Bombyx mori: one gene and its partners. The protein of the gene in region 5 interacts with the protein of the main gene of each other region in a biochemical or structural test. Links are inferred from orthologs where the notes say so. Each region holds a gene or a part of one and is shown on either strand. Other genes may lie near its edges.

Evidence for each region.
Region 1: the proteins of GTP-binding nuclear protein Ran (region 5) and importin-11 form a complex in vitro, tested with the Homo sapiens proteins (2 studies listed by BioGRID). The link is inferred for Bombyx mori from reciprocal best matches to the Homo sapiens genes RAN and IPO11.
Region 2: the proteins of GTP-binding nuclear protein Ran (region 5) and probable nuclear transport factor 2 form a complex in vitro, tested with the Homo sapiens proteins (3 studies listed by BioGRID, with this or other methods). The link is inferred for Bombyx mori from reciprocal best matches to the Homo sapiens genes RAN and NUTF2.
Region 3: the proteins of GTP-binding nuclear protein Ran (region 5) and importin-5 form a complex in vitro, tested with the Homo sapiens proteins (2 studies listed by BioGRID). The link is inferred for Bombyx mori from reciprocal best matches to the Homo sapiens genes RAN and IPO5.
Region 4: the proteins of GTP-binding nuclear protein Ran (region 5) and regulator of chromosome condensation form a complex in vitro, tested with the Homo sapiens proteins (6 studies listed by BioGRID and IntAct, with this or other methods). The link is inferred for Bombyx mori from reciprocal best matches to the Homo sapiens genes RAN and RCC1.

What each region holds. Positions count from the first base shown.
Region 1 is NC_085127.1:2,267,210-2,273,507, reverse strand, and holds the start of importin-11, read right to left. Parts: upstream 3,681-6,298; 5' UTR 3,459-3,680; intron 2,873-3,458; 5' UTR 2,867-2,872; coding exon 2,732-2,866; intron 2,246-2,731; coding exon 2,025-2,245; intron 1,719-2,024; coding exon 1,559-1,718; intron 547-1,558; coding exon 300-546; intron 1-299. Other genes in the region: arrestin domain-containing protein 2, read left to right, coding at 4,080-4,197, 4,322-4,462, 5,009-5,208, 6,219-6,298. UniProt on the Homo sapiens protein: Functions in nuclear protein import as nuclear transport receptor. Serves as receptor for nuclear localization signals (NLS) in cargo substrates.
Region 2 is NC_085116.1:12,785,908-12,792,417, reverse strand, and holds probable nuclear transport factor 2, read right to left. Parts: upstream 3,934-6,510; 5' UTR 3,791-3,933; intron 3,702-3,790; 5' UTR 3,676-3,701; coding exon 3,568-3,675; intron 3,133-3,567; coding exon 3,061-3,132; intron 2,488-3,060; coding exon 2,389-2,487; intron 1,078-2,388; coding exon 964-1,077; 3' UTR 403-963; downstream 1-402. Other genes in the region: U4/U6 small nuclear ribonucleoprotein Prp31, read left to right, coding at 5,495-5,689, 5,763-5,898, 6,074-6,278. UniProt on the Homo sapiens protein: Mediates the import of GDP-bound RAN from the cytoplasm into the nucleus which is essential for the function of RAN in cargo receptor-mediated nucleocytoplasmic transport.
Region 3 is NC_085121.1:12,777,852-12,784,201, reverse strand, and holds the start of importin-5, read left to right. Parts: upstream 1-2,074; 5' UTR 2,075-2,280; coding exon 2,281-2,361; intron 2,362-2,914; coding exon 2,915-3,148; intron 3,149-4,176; coding exon 4,177-4,319; intron 4,320-4,396; coding exon 4,397-4,598; intron 4,599-4,953; coding exon 4,954-5,079; intron 5,080-5,478; coding exon 5,479-5,690; intron 5,691-6,287; coding exon 6,288-6,350. UniProt on the Homo sapiens protein: Functions in nuclear protein import as nuclear transport receptor. Serves as receptor for nuclear localization signals (NLS) in cargo substrates.
Region 4 is NC_085130.1:7,888,663-7,894,517, forward strand, and holds part of regulator of chromosome condensation, read right to left. Parts: intron 5,560-5,855; coding exon 5,422-5,559; intron 5,239-5,421; coding exon 5,067-5,238; intron 4,330-5,066; coding exon 4,208-4,329; intron 3,395-4,207; coding exon 3,249-3,394; intron 2,907-3,248; coding exon 2,721-2,906; intron 1,918-2,720; coding exon of another isoform or gene 1,846-1,917; exon of another isoform or gene 1,791-1,845; intron 554-1,790; coding exon 505-553; intron 1-504. UniProt on the Homo sapiens protein: Guanine-nucleotide releasing factor that promotes the exchange of Ran-bound GDP by GTP, and thereby plays an important role in RAN-mediated functions in nuclear import and mitosis.
Region 5 is NC_085116.1:5,373,866-5,379,826, forward strand, and holds GTP-binding nuclear protein Ran, read left to right. Parts: upstream 1-2,395; 5' UTR 2,396-2,471; intron 2,472-2,837; 5' UTR 2,838-2,864; coding exon 2,865-3,290; intron 3,291-3,391; coding exon 3,392-3,607; 3' UTR 3,608-4,136; downstream 4,137-5,961. Other genes in the region: syntaxin-1A, read right to left, coding at 1,243-1,275. UniProt on the Homo sapiens protein: GTPase involved in nucleocytoplasmic transport, participating both to the import and the export from the nucleus of proteins and RNAs. Switches between a cytoplasmic GDP- and a nuclear GTP-bound state by nucleotide exchange and GTP hydrolysis.

The DNA of each region.
Region 1 (6,298 bases), on a different chromosome or scaffold from region 5:
AATTTATAACAATTTCTTCCAAATGTCTAGATTTTACATCCATAATCAATATTAACATTTAAGTCATAAATTTGCATAGTTACTGGTTTTAGTGAATTTCGTAGCAACATAGATGTGGCAACACCATCCTGTATAAATCTATATGTTGAGGGATAAATCAGTAAGCAATCCAATGCAATTGAGTGCAAGAGAAATACTACTCACTGTGGTGTCTGTAGGCTTCAGTAGCATCTATTTCTGTATAAACCGACCCTAATGAGCTTGTGGTTTTTTAATGTTAAATTCATATTACTACTTACGACATTCCAAGCTGGACTTAGCCCGATCGAATACTACGTTTAAAAAAGCAACAGCGTCTTGGCTTTCGTGCGCCTTTTTGAAACCGAACACTGTCAACTTTCGCAATATCCTAAGACACAGGAGGGCCTTCTCTAGATGTTCGGTAATTATTTCGGTGGCGGCCCCTTCTTGGATCTGACGTAAGAATATCTCCGTGTTCTCGTGCCATAGACTTAATATGAATGAATACACTGAGTTGGTTAATTCCTGGAATCATACATTTTGGGTAAAATTTGGGCAGCAAGTAAGAAACTTATAGAAGAAAATTTGCGTAATTACTGGTGATAGGGCCTCTTGTGATTCCGCGCTGGTGGGTACCACCACCCTGCCTATTTCTGCAGTGAAGCAATAATGCATTTCAGTTGGAAGGGTGGGGCAGCCATTGTAACTATACTTGAGACCTTAGAACTTATATCTCAAGGTGGGTGGCGCATTTACGTTGTAGACATCTAGGGGCTCCATTAACCACTTAACACCAGGTGGGCTGTGAGCTAGACCACCCACCAGAGCAATAAAAAAAAAAAAAAACTCGATCACCACCTCACCCATCTCAATAAGACCTCTAAAGCATAACATATTTTTTTCCATGTTTCATATGCCAAGATCTGATGGGATAATATCAGTTTCTCATTTACACCTTTAATGTCATTCATTGTCATTCTTATTCTTGTATGTATGTATTAGTGGCATCCCTTCTATAAGGCATCATCATCATCAGAGTTCATCCGTACTACCTGGAGCCACTGCGGTCATCCACAGTGCGTTTCCAGAGATCTTTTTTGCCACGTACCATCCGGCTATGGAATGAGCTCCCCTCCACGGTGTTTCCCGAGCGCTATGACATGTCCTTCTTCAAACGAGGCTTGTGGAGAGTATTAAGCGGTAGGCAGCGGCTTGGTTCTGCCCCTGGCATTGCTGAAGTCCATGGGCAACGGTAACCACTCACCATCAGGTGGGCCGTATGCTCGTCTGCCTACAAGGGCAATAAAAAAAAAAAAAAAAAAAAATATTATTAGCTTCAGGTTGTTGAATGTGAAAATTATTAAGTGATTGTTCAGTAATAATACAGTTATAAATTTACAAAATAACCATTAATGGTTCAGTAAATGAATATCATTGTATTTTTTGTTTAATAAATAGAACAAATGTTTGAGAAGATGTAATTAAATGAAAGATATTTGATAATAAATATGTTTTCCTATTTATCGTATTAGCTCACCTGAAATGTCTTCCTGTCACCAACTAATCTTTTAGAAGCCAAAGCCTTGACTACATGATGGAAGATTAACAAAGATCTGTGCTGGATCAAAGGTTGTGTAGTTTTCATGGCACCCATTAGCTCTGGAACTAAATCTGGCCAGTTAGCTGGACAGTCAAACCTAGAAGACGAAATGAACTTGATCAAATTAGTGATTCAACTCAAACTGATCTAGTTATGCTTTTTTTTTGCAACAGTAACAAACAGCTGATTATAAATGGAACTGTGAGGGTATCAAAATTTGAGTTAAATATATATCTTCAATTATGATATGGTGCTATTGTGTTAAAAATCATCAACACTATTACTAGCTATTTGGCTACTTGGACTGGCTATTTATTTCCTATAATAAATTCAATACAATGCCTTCAGTATCAGCCCAGAGACACTGTGTCATATGGAACCAAAGGAACAAAAAAAAACTCACCTAGCGATTTTTGATATCAAAACTGCTTGTTGTGTTGCTATCTGGGAGACAGGTTCACTTAAAATACTTGTTGTTAGCAAGCCCTGTTTTAGTTTCTGTTTTTCTTCCTCTGAAATGGCATTAGGAGCATTCCTCCTCCAGTACCTGTCCACTCCATTCTTGAAGCACATGACAGCAAGCCATCTTACATTCACATCGATTGAGTGGTTAGTGAGCACATTCTGAGACATGATAAAATAATTAGAAATTAGAATTATCACTAAGGAATACAACTACAATACTTATAGATAGCTACAAAAGTTTAATACAATTTATAACTACAATAAAAATGAATAAGAGTTATCTTTGTAATTTATAACAATACATGTTATCATTCGTTTCAAAAATGTTTAATTGTTCACATTTTTACTATACTCAATGTACTTAATTGAGTATTGATGTTGTTATTAATTCAAAATTTTTATCGGTAGTTGAATCAAACCACCAATTAAATCAACAATCAAACAACTATTTGATTAACTAGTTTTTGTGAGAGTCTAATATAATTGCCTCATAATATAATTTCCATTTCTTATATGACATTCATATAAAATATTTGTAAATACTTTTTTTCATCAGAATATTATTTTAAAAAGCCATTATTACTATATATATATATATACTAAATATATTATATGTCACAAATATATTATATAACAAGTAATTACCAATAAGACAGAATAATATCCTGGTTCTATCTCCCATTCCTGCAGTTTTTTCTCAGCTGGTTTTAAAACTTCTGTGTCTTGGCTGGTGGCCTTGTTTAGGGTATCCAATACTAGTGCATAGATATTCGGATCCATGATCAGCTGTAGTAGAATTTGAAGATTGCAATAAAAATTCCGAAATTAATATGACAATATAGTTAATGTATCAACAATTATTGACAATTAAATTTTAATGTTTTAACATTTAGTTTCAAGACTGACCAGTAATGATTTGATCTACTCTACACATGTCCCTACTGTTGAGACACTACTTATGTTTTGGATTTAATGGTGACTATTATCATTTTATAAATTGATTTTACTTAACTACATAGTTGCATTTTCTGATCATGAATTAAATTAAATAATCAGCAAAATACTTATATTACAATACGAATTTATAGAAGAAATATCTTAAATATCTTATAGAAGAATATAAGAAAAAAATATCTTATAGAAGAATCCTTTAGAACAGAACCACAAAATGCAGTTCAACAGGAGTCCACTAAAAGATATAAAATTAATAGCAAATAATATGTTTATAAGTTTTAAATGTCTACATAGTCGACGGATTATATAAATTCTAAAGCGTTATATATTTTATTATTAGCGCTCTGTGGAATAAAAGAGAAAATCAGAGGAATGCATTACACAAAATTTTAATTCGGAAATGAATTAACTAACTTACTTTTCACCCTCCGACATAGGACATAACATAACCTAACTACCTCCGAATTATTGGAATATAAGAAGCGAAGTAGCCCAATTACAAATGAATTGTAACAAAATGGATAGAATAATTTTATTCGCTAAAGGAATAACTCCGAATGTTTTAACAAACGAAACATATCGAAATTAACGTTAAGTAAAAAAATCGCAAAACTCCATCGGAATACCGATTTTTGAATGTCAGCATTGTTGTCAGTGTCACCGGAATAATTCAGGTTGTCAAATGTCAATAAAAATGAATTCGTTCAAAATAACTTAAACTGGTCTATGTAGGTAAGTACCTACGTAATTTTATTGGTCGACACAACAGAAAGGGGGAGATCCAGTACATAATCTAATTTATTAATTTATTACAGAGGGGTTTGATTTGTTTTTTAGTATCATCAGATTTTCTCAAATTTTAGTTGTTTGATTTTCAAATGCTGTTTATTAAAACTACTTATTATCCCACAAATAATAAGAAATTTGGAAGTCATTATCTTGAGGTAATTTATCGAAGCTTATCAAATGAACCAAGATAGCAATGGTAGACGTTTAGTCAATTCTTAATGACTAAGCTAGCTGCTTTCATAACATTGAAATGACTTGGGATAATTGTATAGTACGATTAAACAGTGATTCTACGGGAAGTTTTTATACTGGTGACATAGTTACCGGAACCGTGATATTAGAATTTGACCAAGAACAAAAAATTGAAAGTAGGCCTTAATTTTATTTTCCTATTAAACGAATTGAATTATAGACGTTTTCACGCTTGACCTTGAAATAGAATTTAATTTATACAACACGTAAACTTTAAATATTTTTTATTTTCTTTCTCAGGAATCGATTTACATGTTATAGGTATAAGCAAAGCACAATGGACCAGATCCATGCCCACTATGCCATATATTAAAATTTACTCAGAAAAGAAAAAAATATTAAGCATTAGCATTTGTGACATTTTTAGTGAAATAATTAGTGGTAAGTAATACTTATATAGTCTTGCGATTTAAGTTTAAATAACTGCTTTAGTGTCGGTTTTTAAATTATTATTACATTTAGCATTCGTTCATAAATTTTATTTGCAGCACAAATAGATGATTTTGACTTAATTATTAAATAAACAAATCGGCTTTAGATACTGGAAATATAATAGGGGAAAATTTTAAAATGTTGGCATAAAACAGCAGATAAAGTAAACTTTAGTACCTTCTAACTAGAATATCAAGATAACGAGGTGAAGAATTATTAGACGCCTGTGGCGTAACGGGCAAGATGCAATAGTTCGAATGATGCATCTCCATCAGGTTCGAAGTCTTGGGGAAAAGCCCACTTTTATAAATATTTTAATATTAATGAGCGACTGTATTTCTGAGCTTATCATTCTTTAAAAAATAAAAAAAATCTCTCCACAATGTTGAATATGTCGAATCAAATTATAATACATATTTCCAAATTCATTGGCTGGAAAACATTAACTTATAAATTATCTCTGTCTTAAATTGAGCTTGTGTGTTTACTTCGCAGGTAAAAAGATTAGACCGGGTATCTACACTTACCCTTTCCACTTCGCTCTCCCCTTAGATTTACCATCTAGTTTCGAAAGCAAGATTGCTAAAGTGCACTATTGTATTAAAATTAAAAGCAAACCTGCGGTCAAAGTAAGAAAGAACGTTCCTCTGCGAATTCTGGAAAATGTCAACTTGAATCATTTGGAGGAAATGATGGTGGGTTTGTTTGTTACATTAGTTGTCAATAATGTTATATTAAAAAAAAACAGTTGTTTTACTTTTCTGTGCTTCATTTCAATTACTTTATACTCGTGGCAATGACTCTCCGGTTAAATGTATAATAACAAAAGAAGTATTCGCGTTGAATACTACTGTCTATTAGGATTATTACTATTGGTATTTGCGAATTATCCGTAAGAGCAGCTCTTCAAATTTTACCTAGCTCTGACCCGGATTCGATCTCAATTACACCAAGATCGGCTTATTTTAAATCGATACAAATCCAAATCACTGCTCTACTTATTTCTGAGAAGATATGTACATCATTTTTTCCGGTTTTGAAAAAAAAAAACAACCATCTTTACGGCTCAAGGTAGAATTCACAATGTAATCCTTAATTACTATGGGCTTTACACTGTTAACTGCAAGATGGGAAAGCTGTTTCCTATTTAAAAATGACGCAATTGAAATAAATGCTTTTTTTTATTACCTGTTATTTGGTCAACGAGTAGGTAGTATTATAATTCGATTACAATACCCCCGATCTTTATTTCAAAATCTTCGTGTGTAGTTAATATAAAGGAAAGAGGGTGGTTTTCTAACGAGCCTTTTTTCGACGATCCAAATTTGGTCTGTTCGGAACTTTTAAAGTAAAAGTAACCTTATCTTTAAAAGTTGTTAGCGTGATTCAGGTTTTTGCTGAATTTCTATGATGGCTACCGCTATTATAATTATTTATCGAAATATTATTGTAGTTATCCAACTCATAATTTTGTTTCAACAAATTGTTTATTGCACCTGTGAAGAAGATCCTTAGCAAAGCTCGGACAGAATATCAAAATAATAGCCGGGTAGTAGCAGTCAGGAGCCGTGCTCACCCCCTGTCCTGGTGAAGCTTCTGGGCAACCCTCCACCCTAAAAAATAATATTAGTAATAGCCGAACAGCCTAAAATTAATTAATTCCTTTTGTTTGAGAAATAAAGATAATCGTTATTTTCTTTTTCAGATAACATCGATCCACGACTTCGTAAAAGCATTTAGGACTTCAGGAAAATTCTCGGTTTCTGTGAAAACCTATAGGGCATT
Region 2 (6,510 bases), about 7.4 Mb from region 5:
TAAGACTACTACTTTTCAACCGTAACAGCAGGGCACGTGAAATTGTATTAAAGGTGTCTAAACAACGTCATTTCGGATCCTCCCGATCCACTAACGGTGCTTCTAGGTATCCCAAGCACCGACCAACATTCTCGTCGAACCCGTCGCTTGCCACGAAAGGCTCGGCGAGTAACCGGCGAGTTAACCCACAGACAGCCCACTAAGTTTCTTCGCCGGATCTTCTCAGTGGGTCGCGTTTCCGATCCGGTGGTAGATTCTGCGAAGCGCGGCTCTTGCTAGGGTTTGTGTTAGCAACGTCATCAGGTTTGAGCCCCGTGAACTCACTTACTAATTCGGCGAATCTAGAATAACCCCTCGTGGTTACTAGAATAGGTAGGAAAAAATTTATTATAAACAAGACCGTGTAGAAAATTATAATGTATTTGTTATAAAATGTTTACATATAATGCAAAGAGTTCTCGTAGCAACGTTAAATAAAGCACAAAAAGATGCCAAATTTAGTAACAGCTATTCACAATTTTTGATAGCACTTATATACCTAGATAACCAAACAGACTTGAGAAGCATGATGAAACTAGTGTTTGTATGTTATTGATATTTAAAAGTATAATTGACAACTCGAAGAATGGCGTAACCCAAAATCGCATTATCTCCAAGGGTAACAATAATGAAAGCGGTTTTTCATTTTTATAATTTGTTCGTTTACAAACATGTAACAATTTATCTCCATTTTCTGTGTAATGAAAACCAAATTCTCATTTTAGATTACCCTGTTCGATCACTAAATCGATCATTATCATAATTTCATAATCGTCTAGTCCTTTCAATTTCATAAATTCTTTGACGAAATAGATACAAGAAAAATATAATGTGTACCAAATGTCAAGAATTCTGATTCAACAGTTGTATGTTATATCAAATTTCAAGTTAAGCATTTCTTCGTGTTGTGTCTGTCCTTGTGATCTAAGCTATGTCATGGATGCCTAAACGGAAAATGTCGTGCTGAACATAAAATGAATCTCCGAGTGGCTTCAACACGAACGTTTGCATGTATAGGTGTGGAGGATCTTCGTCACACTGAAAATAAAAAATAAACAATTTAAAATTAGAATCCTGTAGTATTACAAAATTTACGTATAGTCAGTTAAGGAATAATGCATCTAGACCCTGAAAACTTTTTGGATCTGTTGTTGTTGTCTACAGATTATACAGAACCTTACGAAACTTTGCTATATTACAAATTCTTTCCAAATGACATGAGAACCCTTCTTAATTTTTTGAATAGAAAACGATAACATAATTATTAAAGTTTATTAACAGATACATAGGTATGTATAAAGCAGCGCTTCCTAAGTGTTTTTCGTTTTCGTACCTTTTAATAAAACTTTACATTTGAGTATCCACCCATACACTGATAACCTCATACCTACTCCTAAAAATTTGTCTCCTTTCTCGTCACAGACACAAACTCAACCAGGCAATATACAAACGAATGTGTGGCATTTTACCAACCCAACACTCAGCCTGGCATCTCTAAATAATTGTTGTAAGGATTCATATTAAATAACTTTAAAATATAGCGCTACAAAGGAATCTTTCATTCATAAGGAAACCAGCCAGTAGAACGGGCTCCAAGGTTTTTGCCTTACATCAAAGAAGTTAGAGAAAGTATTGGCAATATATTTTGGTGTGCGTAAAGAAAACTACTAGTACTACTACAAGACTAAAATGCAGTTTTACTTTGCAGGATCCAGGTATTTATAAACAGGATTTTAAATGTGCACTCTCAGATATAGATTTATAGGTTACAGTTAATGAGCACATTGTAGACATTAAGAGTTATTGAATACACAAGCTCGCAGTTTATTAACATGGGCTAGACAGCTCTATTAACCATTCAGTTAAATTTGAATCTAAATACTGACCAAAGAAAGCTAGTTACACATATAGTATATGAGGTCATGAAAATAAAATTTAAAATACCTTAATTTTACAGAGAAAATGATTGGCTCTTAATTAACACTTAGGATTCTCGTGACTACGAAAACCCAAGTCAAACAAACTGCCAGAGCTTAAGATAGTTGTTTGTGTGTGAAAAGACATCACTGTCAAGAAATATTTTAGAGAAAGCTAGCAGTTAGAAAAATATTCAAAGGTAGACAAAAAACACCTTATATATACATTACCACAAAAATATACTGTATTTCAAATGACGTAAATAAAAATTTTTTTAAATAAAGATGATATTAAATGATAAAATTAATTTATAGTATTTACTATAAACAACTTTTACTTTATATTATGTGATTCACCTGTTTAGGTAAATAAAGCAATTATATTTTTAATTAAACACATAAAGTTAAATGGTGATTTATATTTACTATTTACCTTCAATCTTCCAAGGACATTAATTAAAACGCCTCCATCAAACATTGGCTGGGAATCCACAGCAGTTACTATTCTAGTGATTTTTTGAAAAGTCAAACTCTGTAATATTAATTTTCATTTTTATTAAAAATAAGGTTATTTCTAAAGTGATAGACCTAACGACAATTTTTCCACAATTCTACCTTTGCTGCTCTACCACAATAGATGCCTTCTGGTCAAAAACAGCAACATGGATTATATAGCTTCTTAGTAGCAGTAATTTTATCAGATACAGTTAGATACAGTACAGACTTTGATCTCATGTCTCAACAATAAAGGTGGTAACATTAAATCTGTAATGCCTATAGACTCCACTATTACGACCAGGATGGCCTTAACACAGAGATATAACATAATAACAATAACTACACTATTATTGTTACAAGCACAAATTATGTATATATGTAGGAAAAAAATGTTACAAAGTAGGTATAAAAAAAGTTATACAAAGAACTACTGAGGAAACCAGAATGAAAATTTTAGTGTATACAAAAAAAAATTCAGTTAAATAACAACTAAACAAAACCTGTAAATATAAGCACTGTTCCTAAATACATAACTGTACTTTTGATTGTGTTAGAGAAGATTTTTAGTGTAATATCTTCAAAATTGGTAAAATTCTTATTTACTCACATTTAATTTTTCCATAATTTTAACAGCACCCTGCAGTTGTACTCCCTCAAAGGTCATGAATGAAGTTTCAACCTGCAAGACAAGTCATTATTAATAACTTAACAAGCAATAGTCCTGAAACAACTATGTTTAAATGTTTATACAACATTGTTAAAAAAGGGGTATAAAGTAAAATTTATCGCAATGTCCAGTTGACACCAATTTTTCACCCTAGTGGGCATCAACAAATACATCACTTAAAAGATCTAGAATAAAATTGTACTAACACATGGTAACACAATTCTAAAAAGGACATATTTAAATTACACTTAAAATAGAGGCTTTGTATCGTTTCTTCAGTCTAAATTCTACGTAATTGCTTTATATGAGAAGCCGAGTTTCGCAGTCGGTAAAACCAGACGTTAACCTCTAAACAAAATTTAAATTGTAAAATACTATTTTCAAAATGTGAGAGAAGGGAAGATAACCATAATATAATAAAAATAACGGTACAGTAATAATACTCACATTGTACATATTAACAAGATTTGCCCGTTGAGCCGGATCATCGAACAATGTGTAATATTGTTGCACAAAACCTTTACCGATTGCATCGTACTGCGGATTGAGCGCCATTTAGATTAAGATGTGTCTATTTGTCACTGTAAAAGATTGATATCTTTGAATATACTAAAAAATTGAATAGGAAGGTGTTCACTTAACTTTATTTAAATATTAGGCGTCTACACACCACCAACAAAAAGCCCAATTCCAGCCGAAAAATTCAAGATGTGACGAACTGACGAAAAGGGGCTTGAAAATTTATTCTGCTTGTTGACAGTTATGACATATTTTTTTTTAATGATTCTGAATGTAGTGTCTAAGAGGTATAAGATCATACAACACTACTATTTTCTACTAAAGCTGAGCTGTTTCCACTATTATGGATTAAAAGTATTAAAATCTAATGCTCTGACGTACTTTTTAGGAAAATCCTGTAATATATTTTTCAATTGTTATTAGAAAATAAGTCAAACTTGATCCACGTAATTCTTCAGATTAAAAGTACATTTCTTCTTCTTCGTCGCTTCCTCATTACTGTGGATCATGAGTCGTGACCACCTTGGTCTAATTGCACTAGTTTCCTACAATGCTGCCTGCATTTGGCCTGCTGAATGGCACCCGGAACGCTGGTGTTTGTGGCTTCCTTGGCAATGTCCGTCCATCTGGTTGGCAATCTTCCTCGAGCTCTCTTTCCTTCCACGTGACCTACAATTATTATTTTTTCCAATTTGTCAAGATTTCGTCAGGTCACGTGTCCGAAGTACTTGAGGAGATGCTGCATACAGATCGTAGATAGACAGGTCTTGACGTTTAGCTCCGAGAGAATTGATACATTTGTTCGGCGCTCCGTCCATGATACGACCAACATTTTGCGCCAACATCACATTTCAAATGCGTCAATTTTCAATCGGATACGGGCCTTGAGGGTCCACGTCTCAGAAGCGTACGAGAGTATGGAGAAGATAAGGGTTCTCATGAGCTTTATCTTAGTTTTTTGTTTATGTTGCGATTTCTCCAAATCTTCATAAATTTGATTCAATTCTTAAAAAAAAAACCAAGACTATTTCATTACAGCTTTCAGTATTTTTTAAATTGTAAAAAACAATCAAAAGTCACCGTCCTGTGAGACCTTTTGGCGGGAACGCGAAGAGCGAAGTTGTGTGAATTGTTTTAATTTGTCTATTTAGTATTTCTTTAGGTTTAAATGTGTAATAACGGTGGTTAATTATGAACTATTTAGTATTTATGAATATGCACAAATGTGGGAAAATGAAATAAAACTGCTGGGCGCAGCTTCTCGGGATCTACTGAAAAGTTCACTGAAAAGTCTTAATAAATATCTAACCACTATTTTACTGAGATTATATTTTATCCCATATCATCTCATCTTATTTCATTTAATTTCATCTCTATTAATGAATATCTCCAGTTAATCAACTTAAATTCATTTAGCTTCATATCATTTCCATGAAAGAGAATCTATAATTTATGAATAAACATATCGTATGATACCTTCGTCTTTATACTTGGAAAAATGGAATTACTACATACTAGGTAGGTACGGTACTACTTACTACTGTCAAGTACCGTACTGTCACTGTCATTTCTGTTTACTTTTCAAATTAACTATTGCAAATATTAGTCGCCGTAGGTACATAGGTAGGTAAATCATTTAGTTTTGGGTACAAACTATTGAAGTTTAATGACATCGCTGACTAAAAAATCAAATTAATATCTATAATGTATACTAAATGAAATATACTGTATAGCTGTGAAAGTCGATTTGAGTAAAAAACTGTAATAATTGTAGAATATTACAGAATACAATAGAAACAGAACAAGCTCACACATAAACTTAACACTCAGAAAATCAATTTAGTTCTACAGAAGCATGTCTCTAGCTGACGAATTACTTGCTGATTTAGAAGAAAATGACGATGGTGAACTCGAAGCTGCTATCGAGAGCAAAACCAAAGAAGAATACGACTTTGCAGTTCCATATCCCGTCTTACCTAAAGAAGAAGAAATCAAGAATGTCTCGATAAGAGAACTCGCGAAACTAAGATATTCTGATCGTCTGAAACGTGTATGTATTTAATAAAGTTTCTTGAAGAACAGTTTAAATATAAATTACAATTTTTCATGTAAACAACTTTTAGGTTATGAGTGAAATAGAATGTAATGCTGGAAATAACAGAAATAAGGTTGAAGTTGCTGGCTTAATGGAGTCTGACCCTGAGTATCAACTGATTGTGGAAGCAAATAATGTTGCTGTTGAAATTGATGGTGAAATAGGTATGCATTCCAATCTCCATTTTTCATGTGTTGATTTGTTTATTAAAACAGTTTCAGAGAATTGAACTTTTATGATTGAACGTAGTGTTAATAGTTCTCTTTTCATGAAATTATTATCTTGGTTGTCTAATTATTACTGCTTACAATATTAAAGTCAAGAAATGCAAATTTTCAGCTATTATTCACAGATTTGTCCGTGACAAATATCAGAAACGGTTTCCTGAATTGGAATCTCTAATCATCACTCCATTGGAATACATAAGGACAGTGAAAGAACTTGGCAATGATTTGGACAGGGCTAAGAATAATGAAATATTACAGAGTTTTCTTACTCAGGCCACTATTATGATTGTTTCTGTTACTGCATCTACAACTCAAGGGTTAGCTTCTTATTTGTTTTCTATTTGTGGTCTATTTTGTTTGCTAATATAAATCAATGCACTCACTCTGAGAAACATCGTGCCACATGTCATTGCAACGCGAGAGCATTGGTATCGCAGAATTCGACTGATACATGACCACAACCACTCTGTTAAGACTGTACGACTAGGAAGAAGAAAGAATAAATGTAAATAAAAATGTAGAAATGCAACATTTCAAATTCATTTAAAT
Region 3 (6,350 bases), on a different chromosome or scaffold from region 5:
TTATTTTCAATTTTCAATTTCGTATCTAGACACTCATTTAATAAGTGTTCTAAATAATCTATGCTAGACACAATTTAGAAAAATAAAGTAGTAGTAATTTTATTTTACCAACTGGAAAGGCCACGGTGTCAGACCATACAGCCTAATCTTTTGTATATACCGGAAAAATGGGGCGATTAGGGACAAATTCCAAATTTATGACCAATTTTAAGGTAGTTGTTGATGTATATAATGCTATATCAGGATCAAAATGATTGAGTCTTGGGGGCATCATTATTGTCCAATTTAAAACTACGCAACTAGCATTCCAGTTTAAGCAAAAAAAGCAAAAATAGGTGTAATCCCTATTTACCCGGAAATAGCGGTTAATTGGGACGAAATGAGAAATTTGCTAGGGTTGTAGGGTTTAAATTAATTTATTTTGTTGCATAAAAAATATTGAAAAGCTGAAAAAAGTACATGGGAGATGTCACCTCTCCCCCACTCTGAACAAATATTAAATATTTTATTATGTATGTATGTATGTACTTAGACATTTTTGTCCACCTTGAGATTTCATTGTTCTTGTTACATGTCTGTGCAAAATCGACTTACTTATATTAAATTGCTTAGCTATTTCAACTAAAGACTTATTCCCAATTTCATATGCTTCTATTGCTGTTTTTAATATTAAGGGATCATATCTCTTATGAGGCTTTGCACTCTTTGATAGATACACGCGAGGCATATCTAAAAATAGAAAACAATACTTAACTGATAATATAAATATTTACCAAACAATAAAATAACACATTGATAATTTTGAATAAAAGTTCTAGACAAAAACATCATGAATAAACCAGATTTTTACCAACAAATTTAAAAAATATTGTTATAACTACATAGACAACCCTACAAACCTGTACCTATTTATACTTAGGTCGTTTCCATTTCACGTATTCTCATCCCAATTGACCCTTTTTTCGTTTTTATTTGTACCTAAGACGTCCCCAATATCCCCAAAAACAACAGATTTTGACATGTATTTTTATTTTATCAAATACATTAAAACCAATAACAACTGAGACTTACCTTTAATATATATGATGGTTCAAACACTAAATAACGTTTATAAATCACAGTCGTCTTCTATTATTATCAAATAAATAAAAGAGAGCAAAGTTTCTAGCACTAAAATAATTACCACCACAGGAAGTTAATTTGAAACGTGATTTTTTATAAGTTAGCAGCTATTATCATGCATATTCAGAGTTGTTTTGTAAACTTTCAACATTCTACTATTAAACTACAAAAAATGGAAGATTTTGCAACGAATATAAAACTAATATTGAGCATCGAAAGATTTTCCCGGTTTTTTCCCGATTCGCCTCTCAATCCCTAATCGCCCCATTTTACGGTATATATTTTTTCATAAATGAAAAATGATAATATGACGTGAAATGAAATGTGATGAGATGAGATGATATGGGATGAAATATAATCTCAGTAAAATGGTAGGTAGTCATTTACTGAGACTTTTGGGAGGATCCCGAAGAGTTACATCCAGTGGCTTTGTTTTATTTTCCCACATTTGTGCACTTTCACAGATACTAAACAGTTGATAAGCAGCTTAAACCCGAAGAAACACTAAATAGACAAATAAAACAAATCACATAACTTCACTCCTTGCGTTCCCTCCAAAAAGTCTAGAACAATTAAATTGAGTCAAAACTCAGGGGGCTTTCAAACTCTAGATAATTATTATGTGTAATATCTATGCTCAAGATTTTCACTATTGTAAGTTGGTTCTACACAATCCTGCAAGATCTAACTAAAGACATAATTTTATGGAAGTGATTTTATTTTTTATGCTAATTTTTATAAATTTTAAAGTTTGGTCTTTGAATTAATCGGACTTATTTACACAGTCAAATTATCTGTGCTATTTACTAAATCAAATTTAATTACACTATTTAAGACAATTTCTTGTTTTAATTTGTGAAAAACTAAATTCTGAACAATCTAAAAGACAATAAATTTAAATATAATAACATTTATTTTACTTATTGTCAAAATTCGATAATCTATTCATCACGTTCCCAATACCGGACCTCTCTGTCAGCGAGTGAAATAAATCTCAAAATAGTTGAGAAATTAAGTAGGTACATAATATTTCCAACTTTTTAAGTTCATTTAGTCGATGTTTTCATTGTTTTCTTAACTGGCAACAAAAAAGAAAGTGGCCAGTAGTATGGCATGTTGGTTGGATGAAAAAAATTGTTCCTTTTGAAGAAGTTCAACATGGCAGGAGATCAGGCGCAATTTTATCAGTTGCTAAATACTTTACTTTCAACCGATAATGATATCAGATCCCAAGCAGAGGTAAGATAAAGTTCTGTAATTTCTATTTGCAATTATTGCACTATGAAAATAAATAAACTGCCTTGTCTCGACAAAACAGAAAGCCTCGTGTCAAAACGTGGTCATGGAGGTTCCGAACGAATATAGTTTTTTGAAGCGATAAAATATAATAGCATTTGCACATTAACTACTTTATAAAATTGTTAGTACTGAGTAATCTGGTGTTTTACTGCTTTATTTTGTATTCAAACCTTACTACATTGGTACCGCCACATACAACCGCTTTTGGAATTTAGGAGGGCGGGTACGCACATGTCTTGTTTAATGTAGAAAAATAAGGTTAGATAAAGAATACACTCGCATCATAATAATAATTGTCAATGCTGTTGTTAATTACAATATTGTTGTGTGAAAATTTTCGGTCGTAACTTCAAACTAAGGTTGAGGTCAAGTTCATGACCATTTTGCCTATTTCATTACATAAGAAAATAGGCGGTGCCCGTGACCTTAGCGAGAATTTTTGGTACCTAATAAACTGCGGAACAGATTGAAATAAAACTGATTTTTTTTAAAGGACGCATACAACAACATTCCAACAGAAACAAAAGTAGTGCACCTAGTGAATTCAATTCAAAATGCAGACATTGCCGAAGATGTGCGTCAAACGGCGGCCGTGCTGTTACGAAGATTATTTAGTGCAGAATTCTTTGAGTTCTTCCCGAAATTGCCATTTGAGCAGCAGACAGTGCTCAGAGAACAATTGTTACTCACCCTTCAAATGGATCTTTCCCAGTACTTACGAAGAAAGGTGAGTTGTATGTATGAGTATGTAATAAAAGCAATTGATGCAAAAAATAATTAGAGAACACTTGTTTCTGAAACTCTAAGAATGTAATACTGAACACAAACAGAAAATATTCATATTAAATTAGTCACTGCTTATTATTTTTGACAGTATTAGTCACTTCACACAACTTATACTTAATACCTTTCCTTTTTTTCTGCAACAGTACACCTGGGATGATATTCTTTCTCTTATCTTCTTATATTCTAATATTGAGTGGTCACCATACCACATAGACTTCATGTGAATGCTACCACCCGGTTTGAACTCTTTTAAAATTAATTAAGGCATCTGTGTATTGAAGGCTTACTTGTAAGCTATCAGTTTTCTCCACTCATTGCTTTTTTTTTGCTTGAAATACTGTTTATCATCATCATTATCTAATAAGAATTTATCAGACAAGTCCTCAATCATCAAATCTATGGGGAGGCTATGTAATCAGTTTAACCAAAATTCTGAAGATGACTGTAAGGTGGTAATAATACATGGAGATTTTTATAAACTTTAAAGAGATGGTACAAAATTTGTATAAAAAAATTAAAATGTTATTTATGAACAATGATGAGTATTTTTGTCCTTCAGTGCTCAAAATGTGCTCAAAATTAGTCTTCTTGTTTTAGTCCTATTAGTTGGGATGTGTTGATTATATTTCTGTCACAATAATATAGTTTTTATACTATATTGCATCATGTTGAGAACATATGATGCTGTCTTCATGTCAGAGAGAGATGTAAATTGTAGTAGATTAGTCATTAAACTGAACCAAACCTTTCTGCAACTGATCTATTTAAAAATATTAAAAATGATGTGGTGAAAGATGTGGTTTTGGAAAAAAACTAATGAATAAATGATCAGTAATCTTTATCAATTTTGGGGAGGTGTGTCTGAATTTAAGGTTTACTTAAATGCTTTGGAACAACAATACTTTCACAGTGAAAAATAAATAAGTAATAAACAAAAAAATGTATTAAAAATGTCCATTTACTCATCAGGTTTGTGATGTAGTCTCTGAACTGGCTAGGAATCATATTGATGACGATGGCAACAACCAGTGGCCTGAGTTCCTACAGTTCATGTTTACCTGTGCCAGTGCGCAAGATCCAAACATCAAAGAAGCTGGTATTAGAATGTTTACGTAAGTTTCAATTATTTTAATTCAATTTTTTTTCTTACTTTTATTTTACACAATAAATCTTTGTTTATTGTTAACAGATCTGTACCAGGTGTATTTGGAAATCGTCAGACTGAAAACTTGGATGTGATAAAAGGCATGTTAATATCTGCTTTGCAGCCAAATGAATCAATGGCTTTGCGAACTCAGGCAGTTAAAGCTGTAGGCGCCTTTATACTACTACACGATAAGGAGCCCATCATACAAAAGCATTTCAGTGATGTTCTTCTACCTTTGATGCAGGTTTGTAGATTTGTTCTCTATACAGTAAATAGTGCACTGATCACATCCATAGCCAAGATCAGAAGCATTCTTAACCTACAAAGAAAAAATAAGTGAATAATTATATTTGCCTGCTTAATATGATAAACTCAACAGTTTTTTTTTATGTATGCACAAATACTCCTACGTGCACATTTTCTATAATAAAATGTGTTACTGCCAAATTGTGCAAAATTGAATTTGGAATTTCGCTAACACCAGCCTTGTCTATAAGCTGGAGTTTGATAGTAATTCTCAATACATTTAAATTCTTAAATGATCTTCAAAAGGGATAGTATTATATTTTGAATGAAATAGTACATGTTTTTGTTATCAGGTAATAGTTCTGTCTATTGAAGCAGCTGATGATGACTCTGCATTGAAAGTACTCATTGAGTTAGCAGAATCAACACCTAAATTTCTCCGACCCCAGCTGGAGACCATATTCCAAGTTTGCATAAAGGTATGTAAAAAATGTCTAAAATTACCAATTCATTTACAAAAAAATTGGGAATGGGTAAAGAGACTATAAACGAAACAGCCATAAAAAGTAGAACCCTAAAACATAAAACTACTCATTTAAGAGTGCCAGTGAACTTGTGACCTTAGTGTATGTTTAAGGAGCATGCCCCCATTAATTAGGATTGTGGTCATTACTTGTTGTTTTAGTTAAATTTTTGTTTGAAAGCATAATCAGAAACTAAAAGTGGCTAAATTGACATTAATTTGTATCACTATTGAAGATCAATGAGAGTCTTATTGCTACAATTGATATTTGAAATAATTATATCTGTTATTGTAGTTTGATATAGCAAAATATTTATTGTATGGTATAAAAATATCATTTTACAAATCAAATTAGGTGGTTGGGGACAAAGATGCTGAAGATAACTGGCGCCAACTGGCACTTGAAGCGATGGTAACATTATGTGAGACAGCACCAGCCATGGTGCGTAAACAAGTGCCCAATGCCGTGAGCATGCTCACTCCACTTGTACTTGAGATGATGTGTGAGCTTGATGAAGAGCCTGACTGGACCATACAGGACAACACTGCTGATGACGATAATGACCAGTAAGTTACCATTTTAATGATTCTCATATTGCAAACCCAAATGATTCAAATAACATAGGTCTTGATAGGAAATATGTAATCATATTTACAGATTTAAGCCTAACTGTTTAAAGGATTTACATATATGCTACAGTGTTTGTAATTAGACTCTAATGTTAATTTCGGACAGCACCAATTAAATGCTATGTAAGCAAATACCGTATTGAATAATATGATAAATCTGCTTGCTGATGAACAAACTTATTCAAAGTAAATTCAAAACCTGTAAGGTCTTATTATTTGAATTTATACATTACTATGAATTCTCAGAAGATCTTACTAAACTAACAGCGAGATTATTAGCATTCATATGTGTCTCTGTATATGAGTGTCAGTCCCTCGCTAACATTAATGTTATAATATTGAATGCAGTGGCTTGACTATCATTTGGTGTTGATAGCCAAGATAAACACAGTAGTGATGTTAATTGATTACTAAAAAAAAGCTTGGTGCACGAATACAAAGGCAAGCTAAACTCATTCAATTTAATATTTCACTAACTTAAACTTAGTTCATCGTCAAATCAAATTATTAAATATAAACTTTATTAATTTACAGGAATTATGTGGCAGCAGAATCAGCATTGGACCGCATGTGCTGTGGTCTTGGTGGCAAGATAAT
Region 4 (5,855 bases), on a different chromosome or scaffold from region 5:
AGAGCGGTATTACACCAGTATTTACACAGTGAAGTTCCACGCTAAAGACACTACTTTTCGTTGACTCGTTACTGGCGGTAGGACCTCTTGTAAATCCGCGCAGGTAGGTACCACCACCCCGCCTATTTCTGCCGTAAAGCAGTAATGTGTTTCGGTTTGAAGGGCGGGGCAGCCGTTGTAACTATACTGAGACATTGTAATTCATATATATCTCAAGGTATGTGGCGGTATTTACGTTATAAGTGTCTATGGGCTCCGGTAACCATTTAACGCGAGACAGGCTATGAGCTCGTCTACCTATTTATGCCATAAAAGACAAATGTTATTTCGTTACTATTGGACCTGAAGACTGTGGTACTCATGTTGCGGTGCTCCCCATACCCCGCGTCCACTCTGCACCCGCAGTTATTATTGTCTAAACAATTCCCAAGCTCACCGAACTCAACCCCTGACCTTACTGCCCCAGTTTTGTCGGTCGGGACGCGACTACTAAATATCACTCACCAGTTTCATCAACCTCCATGGGAGTCTCTTTCTCATCTCCGTTCACTTTCTGGAAACATAACAAACAAACACACAATCATTATATGACATATAACAGCACAATATTACTTCTAGTAGATATCAAATTTTAGTTCAATTTTACCGTGTCAATAAATATGAACCGACGTTTAAAAGAAAACAATATCAATATGTTGATTTTTTTTTATTGCCCTTGTAGGCAGACGAGCATACGGCCCACCTCATGGTGAGTGGTTACCGTCGCCCATGGACTTCAGCAATGCCAGGGGCAGAGCCAAGCTGCTGCCTACCGCTTAATACTCTCCACAAGCCACGTTTGAAAAAGGACATGTCATAGCGCTCGGGAAACACCTTGGAGGGGAGCTCATTCCATAGCCGGATAGTACGTGGCAAAAAAGACCTCTGGAAACGCACTGTGGATGACTGCAGTGGTTCCAGGTAGTATGGATGGGCTCAATTAATAAGATACTAAGTCACAGCATATAATACTTTGATTTTGAAAATATGACAATAGTTTCTATTCTACTTAAAAACATATATTTAAATCAAACAATACAACTAACTACCGATTGTTACTACCCCACACCGGTTCAAAAACAATATATATGTCACAAACATTACAATAAAAACGAATTAACTTTGTTTTTATTATACACGCGACAATGTATCTTATAATTATTGTGTGGAGAATTCAATTTGTAACGTGTTGATACGAGGACTGATACCCCCCCCCCAACACCCCTGCCCCTCACTCTGAATACAACAACACATACAACGGGACAACACAACAACAACTGTTACTGAAGTTACATTTCAATCTATACAACTGTGGAGTGTACGAGATAAATGGTTTCACTATACATTAACGCATCACAAGCCACTCCTTTCGCAGGGAAGCGAGGAATTGTCCGTGATGACTATGTGTAAACGTGAGATAAATATGGTAACATTTTCTGACAATAATTAAAATATAGTTTAGTTTTGACGTTACACTGGTAATTTGATACACAGAAACCGCTTAAACCACAATCAATTTATGATATTTAACTACGTGACATCATTAACTACGAATACTTCAGTTTTACACAAATCTATTCGTGTTAATATTTCCCAACAATGGCCCAAGATGTTGCAGCTCAACTATTCCTCTGAACTGGAGGGACAATGCGCGGGACAGTCGACACCCGTTACTGAATAGCTTCAGCCATTGTAGAAACCACAGCTCTCACAGACAAATATCGTCTTTACATATTTAAACCGATACCAAAAATGATGAATACTAAAGTAAAGTGGGAGCACCCGGGGGCGAGTGGGGCCGCGGACCTAAAGGCGCCTCCTGGTGCGCGGGGGGGCGCCGCGGGGGGCCCGCCGAGCCCCGGCCTTTCTCGGCCCTGTCTACAGTTAATACTCTGTTAGGACGACGTTAATGCAACTAGAACATACGTTTGGGCGGGAACGCGAGGAGTGAAGTTGTGTGATTTGTTTTATTTTATCCATTTAGTGTTTCTTCAGATTTAAACAAGTAATAAGGCTGATTTATTAAATATTTAGGATCTGTGAAAGGGCACAAATGTGGGAAAATAAAACAAAGCCTCTGGACATTGCTTCTCGGGATCCTCCAAAAATACCATTTTACTGAGATTATATTTCATCTCATCTCATTTTATTTCATTTTACTCCATAATATCATTTTTCATAGAAATAAGAATATACATTAAAATAAGACTTGACCTAAAGGTTTTAGTTAGCAGGTCATAAAATCCCTTTAAAAAAATAAGCAATTAGAACAACGCTCACGATCACATTATAATGTCAGGTGCAGTTGAATACATATAATTAATTATCAGTACAGAAATTCAACTGTATATTTTAAATGAACTAGCTTCCCGTGAATACAGAAAATAACATACAGCTCATATCAAAACATATTTCTTTGCTGTGTCATTGTATGCTCTGGTACAGTTGCAGCAAGGAAGGATACATTTCTTTTTAGTTTTGTGTACATATTGTCCCATGAACGGACCGTGAGACAATCCAGAGTAATGGCTCGATCAGGATTCTCAGTCAGCACTGCTTACAGACAACTGGGTCAGGGGGCAGGGAGTAAGGGGACGACTCAGATACAGAAGCACAACGATGCCGCATTGTATAATCTGGGGAGGTTTAGTCACTGATATGAGATGCAAACAACTAGATACCTGAGGTTCCGTATCGTTGGAGACGTCCTCAGGTTTGGCTGCAGACGTCGAGGTGATCTCTCCCTCTTGCTCGGTGATGTCCGCTCTACTCGTCTCCTCCTCCTCCTCCTCGGTGTCCTCGGATTGTTGGGATTCCGTCTCACGTTCAGGAATCGGGGAAGGTTCTCTCTGCGACGATGTTTCCTCCTAAAATCGAGATAGAAACTGTACATCCTAATTTCTTTTACTCTTTACGTTTTGGAGAATAAATGTAATTCTTAGGATGCAGGTTGCAAGTTGCAATTTGCAATTGCTTTATAACTGGCGGTAGGACCTCTTGTGAGTCCGCGCGGGTAGGTACCACCACCCCGCCTATTTCTGTCGTGAAGCAGTAATGCGTTTCGGTTTATATGGTTGGGGCAGCCGTTGTAACTATACTGAGACCTTAGAACTTATATCTCAAGATGGGTGGGCTCTGGTAACCACTCAACATCAGGTGGGCTGTGAGCTCGTCCACTCATCGAAGCAATAAAGAGCATGGGCACTCACGACCAGCAGCACGGTGTGTTGTCCGCCGGCGGAGACGCGGAGGGGCGCACGGCTGTCGACGGCGGCGAGGGTGGGCTCGTTGAGGTCCTCGCTCTCTCCGGTGCCCAGCTGCCCCTCGCTGCCCATGCCCCAAGAGTACACTTCGCCTGGAATACAAATTCAATTGCAATTCTAAATCATATATCTCTATTTCACTCAAATTCTCGTTAGAGGACAAAATAAATTAGGTTTTTCTCGTAAAATTGTACCAAGTAGTTCAAAATGAGCATACTCAAATGTAGACTAATAATATGAAGAATGTATGAAACGACATGCAACTCATTAAGAAATACATAATGAAGGGATAACTATTTTTTTATAAATGTAATGTAATTAAAATCTTAATGATGGCTTATAGACTCCAGTTACTTTGTCAGCCCAACAAACAAATATCTAACAAAGAACTGATCCACTTGTTGTTTGGACAAATCAACAGGTTCTTCATCTTGTCTTGTCTGTCAAGCATTAGCTGTCAAAATCAAAGTCCAATAGTAAAATTATGTCAGGATAATGCTAGCGTCGGAACTAGTTTAGATACAAGAAATATTGGTAACCAAGAAGTCATATATTTAGGCACTAGTTTCAGTAAATTATAATGGACATTGTTTGGATACAAATCAAGTTATATTACACATTATTATTAAATTATATGTTCTTAAGATTTAATCATGCAGTAGCTGTTTTTATTTGATATATTTAAATTTTTAATGCTTTACAGTTATATCATTATGGACGATCACGAAATAAGAGAATAAGCCGTAAGAGCAATTTTAACTGTTTATATTATTATAACTCAAGACAGTTGAAGAAGGAAAATACTTCAGTCTTAGTAATGAATTTAATGTATCTAAAAATAAAATTTAAGATATCATCGATTCCTTCATGGAGAGTGAAGCTGAGTGAGGAAGCTGTCCACTAACCGGAGTCTGTGACGGCGAAGGAATTGCTGGTGCCGGCCGCTATACTGATGCATTTCTTGTTCTGCAGCTTGGGTATTAGTTCTAGAGTCTCCGCGTCGCCAGATTTGTCGCCCAGACCTAGCCTGTTGGCGGAAAATCAACATGTCAATACATAAAATGTTTTATTGGATGGACGAGCTCATGGTGTTAAGTGATTACTGGAGCCCATAGACAACGTAAATGCGCCACTCATCTTGAGATATAAGTTCTAAGGTCTCAGTATAGTTACAACGGCTACCCCACCCTTCAAACTGAAAGGCATTACTGCTTCACGGCAGAAATAGGCGGGGTGGTGGTACCTACCCGTGCGGAGTCACAAGACGTCCTACCACCAGTGGTACAAAAACAGTGATATACTAAGGTTGGTGATGGATTTAGGGCTTGATGCCGCCCCAGGCCATATTTATCGCGCCGCTCTTAATGTTGGAATAATTTTATTAATTTTGATCCTATATTTTTATTTTAAATTTAAAAATAACTAAAAATCAATCTGAACTAATTTTTAAAGGAGACTTGTCTTTACATTTTTTAATCTTTGAAATTTTGGCATTTCAAAAGCGCAAAAGTAGCCTACGTTTACCATGGTTACTATGGAGATAAGGGGTTTAAAATTTGATATCGAGTACATATATATAATGTTTTCAAAGTCACTTGTTATCTATGGCAGAAACTAGGGATATGCCGGTTTTGCATAAAAATTTGCACGAATATGAAAATTTTGGGTCAGGCTATTCTTGCATTGACTGACGGCCTTGCAATTTCGAACCTAAGCTTTGTTATAATTTTTTTTTTAAATGGTTAATATTGGAATTTCCCATACCTCCCATATTCACAACGTCCCAGCGCATATATCTGTCCGTTGGCAGCGAGCGTCAGTGTGTGATGTTGTCCGAGGGCCACAGCGCTCCACGCGTGATCGTCTCCGACGGCTCGTAGTGCGTCACACTCGGTCGGAGAAAACAACGCTGTTTTACGTTTCTCACCCGTTATGCCTGGAATATATTTTAAATATTTTATTATTTGTATACATAAATATTTGTAGATCGTATATAATATTAGGAAGGAGCATTGATGACTGGATTTAACTCACAGACGACGATTCACAACGATTTTAAAGAAGTTTCACTTCAAAAAAACTGTATCTAGTGTTGATGGCTAGTGAGAGGTGCACTGACCGAGCTGTCCGTAGTTGTTGAGTCCGAAGGCGAAGAGTCTGGCGTGCTGCGCGTCCAGCACGAAGGTGGCGTGGTGGCCCGCCCACACGCGCGCCGCCGCCTGCCGCAGCGTCACCCGCGCCGGCACCAGCAGCGCGCCTGCACACTCACACTATCACAACCGGACCCTACTACTCACACTATCACAACCGGACCCTACTACTCACACCCACTACACTCCACCACCGGACATTGGAGAGTACGGACAAAAGGACCTCACCACACTACTCCACTACCGGACATTGGGGGAAGAGCGGACAAATCTGAGTTGTCACAATGCATTTGTGAGATTTCAATTTGTTGAATTGGATAAGACTTTAATTTAGTGTTTATGAATATTAAATAGTTTAGTCATCAGTTTTGTAACCGATTAAAGATATTAAAAAGTTAATTAC
Region 5 (5,961 bases):
TATTTATCTAAGATGTCGTTCAGAAGAGTTTTGTGACTGCCAATGGAATACAAAGTCAATAATTCATTTTTCTGATTTACCAATAATTGTCCAAAAGTCACATTGCCGGCTTTGATAATAGTCGACTCATATTATCATTTCAGGTGTATTTTGTTAAACTACAAAACTTATTTTACAATACCAATTTCTAATGAAACAAAAATAATTTAGAAATAAACAGAAAAAAATATTCAAATAACAATTCCAAATTAAACTATCCAATTTGCTACAATAGTAAATTAATTTCTATAAACTAGGTACCTTTCCTATACTTAGTGAATATTTTAATATGTAAGACTTAATTGAGTATATGATCAATATAAGAGCTTGTAGTTTTTCTATCTTAATAAAAAGTTCGAATGTATATGTGTCAACTTCATCAAGTTTGTATTTCACATGCAGCACTTGGTCCATTTATAAGTTTTAGGTTTATTTTTATTTTATTTTATGGAGTGGGTAACATAAAAATAGTATACTTATTTTGATAAAGAAAAGCTGAAAATTACTTTTTAAAATATTAATGGATGTAAATTGTAGCATAATTTGATTTCATTATTTATTTTAATAATTTTATTTCAATCAGTTGTTAAATTATTCAAATTTTAAAGCCTAGATACACTTTCAGTAACTTTGATCTTAATTTTCCTTCTCCACTTCATTGTATCTGACTGTTCTTATGAGTCATAACTTATTGCTCATATGCACTTTAACTAACTGGATAATTAAAAAAAAAAAATACACTCAAAGTTACTTTTGTATCCTATGATTTAATTTTTAACTCATGATAAATAAAAAAATCCGTACTATAGTTGAAATACTAAACAAGTGTTTACGACATTTCAGTTTTATAACAATAAATGTTTTCTTGTGAGGTTATACAGGTTTAAAGTTTTCGACATGGTTAGTGGCCCAAAAACAATGCAGATAAAGTAGGTTTCTTACAAGAATAGCGGAACGCAACAAATGTCTCGCATGAATGACAGCTATCATTCATCCAAGTCGAGTACGGGGTGGGGCGACCAGAATAAAGAACCCTCGTATATTTGGTTTGTCCAAAGATGTGTAGTTCTTAAAAAGAAGAAACTATGAAAATATCCTTCAAACTCACGATAGGCACCTTATTATCGGTATTTCATCATGAATTCGAGGTCATCGGCAAGACCATTAGATGTGCGAGAAGAGAGAAACTACAAATCTACTTACCGCTTGAAGCGCCGCTAACCTGTCCTTCGTCATCCTTTACAGAGAATCACGCACCAAGTAAACGTTTTTTCTCGTTACACAATCCCATTCAAAGATATTTTTCTAACAAACGTCACTAAACTAAAGGACACGAACACTACGTTCACTTCACTCAAAAAATCGATACCATACAAAACGTTCAGACGAGCAAAACTTCACTTATCGCTGGTCGCTACACTCGCTACCTGTCTCATGCTGTCAAATTTAATGTTGCCATAATTTTTTTCTAGGATCCACTAATATTAAATATAAAAAAAACAAGGCACACATGCTAAGAAACAACTTATAAGCTTCGTGCGCTACTGTGAAATGAAGATTGTGAGATGGATATAGTATGGCGACCAGGCTCATTAAAATTAAAAGAGGAGTACGTTTTAAGAAGGCCGCAAGACGAAACTCAGCAACGATATATTCATATAGGAAGGATCTCAGAAAGAAACTTTGCACGAAGAAGAATAGTTGCTTGTTCTTCTTCGTTCGAAAATCTATCGAAAGGCCGAAGATGGAAAAAATCCATCGAGAAGCAAGAGTGATTTTATAAAATTTTAATAGTGTAAAGAGGAAAAAGACGATCTTACGAAGTCTTTGTGGCCGATAGAATTCCCGCGGGCATTTACCATTTCTTATTGAAAGAAAATTTGTGTATAGCGTGTGTTCATGAATGGCACTCATGATGAGCAAATTAAAATAGAAAATTAATACAAAACCATTAATACAAAATAAGCTTTATGCTATATTTTTTTGGGAGTCATAATTGCCAATTTTGTTGGCAAAACCACTAAGATGGCAATGTTGAATATAAAATGTTTGAATTTGTAAGCTATAGGGGGCGTAGTGGTTTCGAAATACCAGTGACGTCAAATACCCTGTAGTCAAAACAGCGCATTATACGGCTTATATTATTAATTTTAAATACTGTTACCCAAATAGAAATTAACTCATTTACAAAATATATCTGATTGAAAGGTTAGTATATAAAATGCAAATTAATATTTTTTTAAACATTTGAAATAGTTTTACGTGGCTTTCATAAATTTAAAAAGACCTCACACTGACTCTTAATTCACTGTGCTTGTCAATGTCAAAATTGTCATTGTATGTAATCTTCCGCTTAGTCAAGTGACGCCATTGTGAGCCGTAACGACTTTGCTTTGGAACGAGTTAAATCTCGATTTTCTTATACAATCACGGTAAAGCCTTTAAAAAAATTATTTGTTTGTGTTCTATAAAAAACTGCCAATAAACTGATATCCATATTTATATTATTGGCGTTGTAGTTTTTCAGTTTTTCTCTTTAGAGTTCGGTACCTTCGAGCTAAATTCCTATGAGAGTGATTGAGCGCCATTCGCCGAAAAGTTAAAACAAATTCAAGTTGTCAAGTTCATTCAAACTCACAATTTATGTACCCAGTGATGAATTTAATCTGCTTAAAGTGTTGAATTATTTCTTGTATTCCGCGAAACCTAGTGAACGATCGATTGAAACGACCTGTCAACCGTGCGTCATAGAACATTCTATGGCTATATCCTAATTTTAGTTTACCACATTGTTTCAGAAGTAAAATAGCAATAAAACAACGAAAATGGCAGATGATATGCCCACATTCAAGTGTGTATTGGTAGGAGATGGTGGTACTGGCAAAACAACCTTTGTCAAAAGACATTTGACTGGAGAGTTCGAGAAAAAATACGTTGCGACTCTGGGTGTCGAAGTACATCCTCTAGTATTCCATACGAACCGCGGGCCAATTCGTTTTAATGTGTGGGACACAGCCGGACAAGAGAAGTTTGGTGGTCTTAGAGACGGATACTATATTCAAGGACAATGTGCTATCATCATGTTCGACGTAACCTCTCGAGTTACGTACAAAAATGTACCTAACTGGCATAGAGATTTGGTCCGTGTATGTGAAGGTATCCCTATTGTCTTGTGCGGAAACAAAGTGGATATTAAAGACAGAAAAGTTAAGGCGAAAACTATTGTTTTCCACAGGAAAAAGAATTTGCAGGTAAATAAAACTATTTTCATTCAATTTAAGAGTTAATTTTAAGGCAAAATGTTAAAATTCTTTGTAATTATTTTTGTTTCAAACTTGATTATTTTTTTCAGTACTACGACATTTCTGCTAAGTCAAACTACAACTTCGAAAAACCCTTCCTGTGGCTAGCTAGAAAATTAATTGGTGACGGTAACCTTGAGTTTGTTGCCATGCCTGCCCTTCTGCCACCAGAAGTTACAATGGATCCTCAATGGCAGAACCAAATTGAAAAAGATCTTCAAGATGCACAAAATACTGCTCTTCCTGAGGAAGATGAAGACTTATAAATATGATCAACGGATGTACCCAGTGCCCATTTTGTGATTGGAGGATCATGCAAATGTGTTCAGTGTAGCGTACACTAAATTTTTTCATTCCATTAGGTGATCGCAAATGAACATTATTTTAATAACTTATTAAACCTTCAATCATTTGCTTTAATTAATGTAAAATCATTAGATAATTTAACACGTAGCTCCTCTAGTTTGAGTTTTATAAAACTGTAATTCTAAACTTTTATATTGAAAGGCAACAAAAATATGAGTATTATTTATGTGTAGTTCATTTTTGTTACAGTTGTCATAAAAACATTTTGCATTGATTGCCCAATATGTGTTAATGCCTATTTGGTCACTGTTATTTATAATACACATGTAAACAAATTTGTATGATAACTCTTTGTAAACCAATAGCATGTACACACATAATATTATAATCTTGAAATTATTTCTTACTTTTGTTACATGCAAGGACTGACAATATTTCACTGAAAAATTGAATTGTGGTGATACTTTTTAAATAAAGTGTAAAAAATGAGATCGTGATTTTACTTCATCATATAAATAAAAGAAGCAATGGAGAAAATGGGTTGTTGTAACTTAAGATTCTTTAATAATAATAATATGTAGAATCTGTAAGTGATCTGATTTGTGTGGTTGTTCACAATATTAATGAGCTATCTAATTATTGAAAATATATGACGAAATACTGAGAAATTATTTATTAGCCTCTCTTAAATATTAAGTTTCATGAGGTAGGTACCTACACATTATGCATATGCCTTCAATATCTGGGATTTGACCTTTAGTGCCCTTGATGGCTGGCTCTGAGGCTTTTTCAAGCGTATCTCGAGTCGGGGCGGTTGCCGTCGCAATGAAAGTTACTTTTTAGTCGTTTATTCCTTTAAAACCCTGTCCTGATTGGAAATCGCTGGGGCGCTAAAAAATCACGGACGTTGGGTGTGGTGGAGGTTCATGGCACTATATTGTTCACCGGTTTGGTGTTACGCTCTGATCCTCGAAAATGCGACTGCGCTGTGGATTCCACTGCATCTTTGAGGTGGTGTGCATGCTCACCGGGGAATCACCCCGGGGTCTGGAGGCGGATGCGCCCGCCACGGATTACGCGTTGCGTGGCGATTTCCGCTCTAGGAGAGAATGGCGCACCGGTGAATAAGTGCGGAAGCTCTAATTTCGGCAGTCCGTGCTGAAGACGTTATGTCGCCGCTTGGTGATCCCGTCCTATGGTTTACGGACCGTATAAGCAGTCTGCGAGATCTTTCCGGACTAGGTGGGTCACGAGTCCCGACCGAAGACGCATCATTTTCCGACTGACGCAAGTGCTCACTGACTCCGGTTGTTGCCACCACTGTACTGACCGCAACGCGGAAAACATGCTCGCGCGCTGCACTGCGTCGGGCTGCAGACGGAGCAGCTTGCGGAAGGTCAGCGGCGCAAGCTGACACCCTCTACCTATCCTGTACCACGAGCCGCTCGATAGAAAGAACTCCACCCCGTGTCAAGCCTTAGTAAATATAAAAGAAAAAAGAACAACTAAGAATGATTATCGAGGCCCTTACTGGTCATGTTTTTTTTCAAGTAATACGAACTTATTTTATGCTAAACAGATAGTGATCTGTATAGGTCTCGCATGAATTTAATTAAACAACTCCTGTGACTTATTTCATTTTGCTTAATTAAAATTTTTGTACAAGACACTTTTCTTCGATCTCATATACTATAAGCTTTTATTAAATTTATGGAGGATAGAGGTAAGGAACACCATCTTGTATAGGGGACAAGTCGAAAAAGTGTGTACCTGTAAGCTGCCAGTTTTTATTAGAAGACTCACCGACACTGAAATAGCGCTAGTGTATGAAGTGGAAATGATATAAATGCAAATTATTAAAGTAGTTTTAAACAGAGTGAAGTGTGCTGGATTGAAGTGAAGTGTGGTAGTTTATAGTGCTGTTTTTTTTAATCTTTCCTCTTACTACTATGGCACCACCTTAATTGGTTCCCTTTCAGCGGACACTTTTAATACACTGAAACAGGCTCCTAACTTATGGACTCCATAGTTGAAATCTTTAGATTTCGTTCCCTTTGCCTAAGTGATTGGAAACAAAAAGCATAAGCAATTTTTTTATTATGCGAATCAAAGAGTGAGTAAGTGAGTGAGTGGACTTTTTGGCGAGAACGCGAGGAGTGAAGTTGTGTGATTTGTTTTATTTTGTCTATTTAGTGTTTCTTCAGGTTTAAATGTGTAATAACGGTGGTTTATTAACTGTTTAATATCTGCGAAAGTTCACAAATATGGTTACAAAAACCAAATCCCTGGACGGGACTTCTGAGGTTCCTCAAAA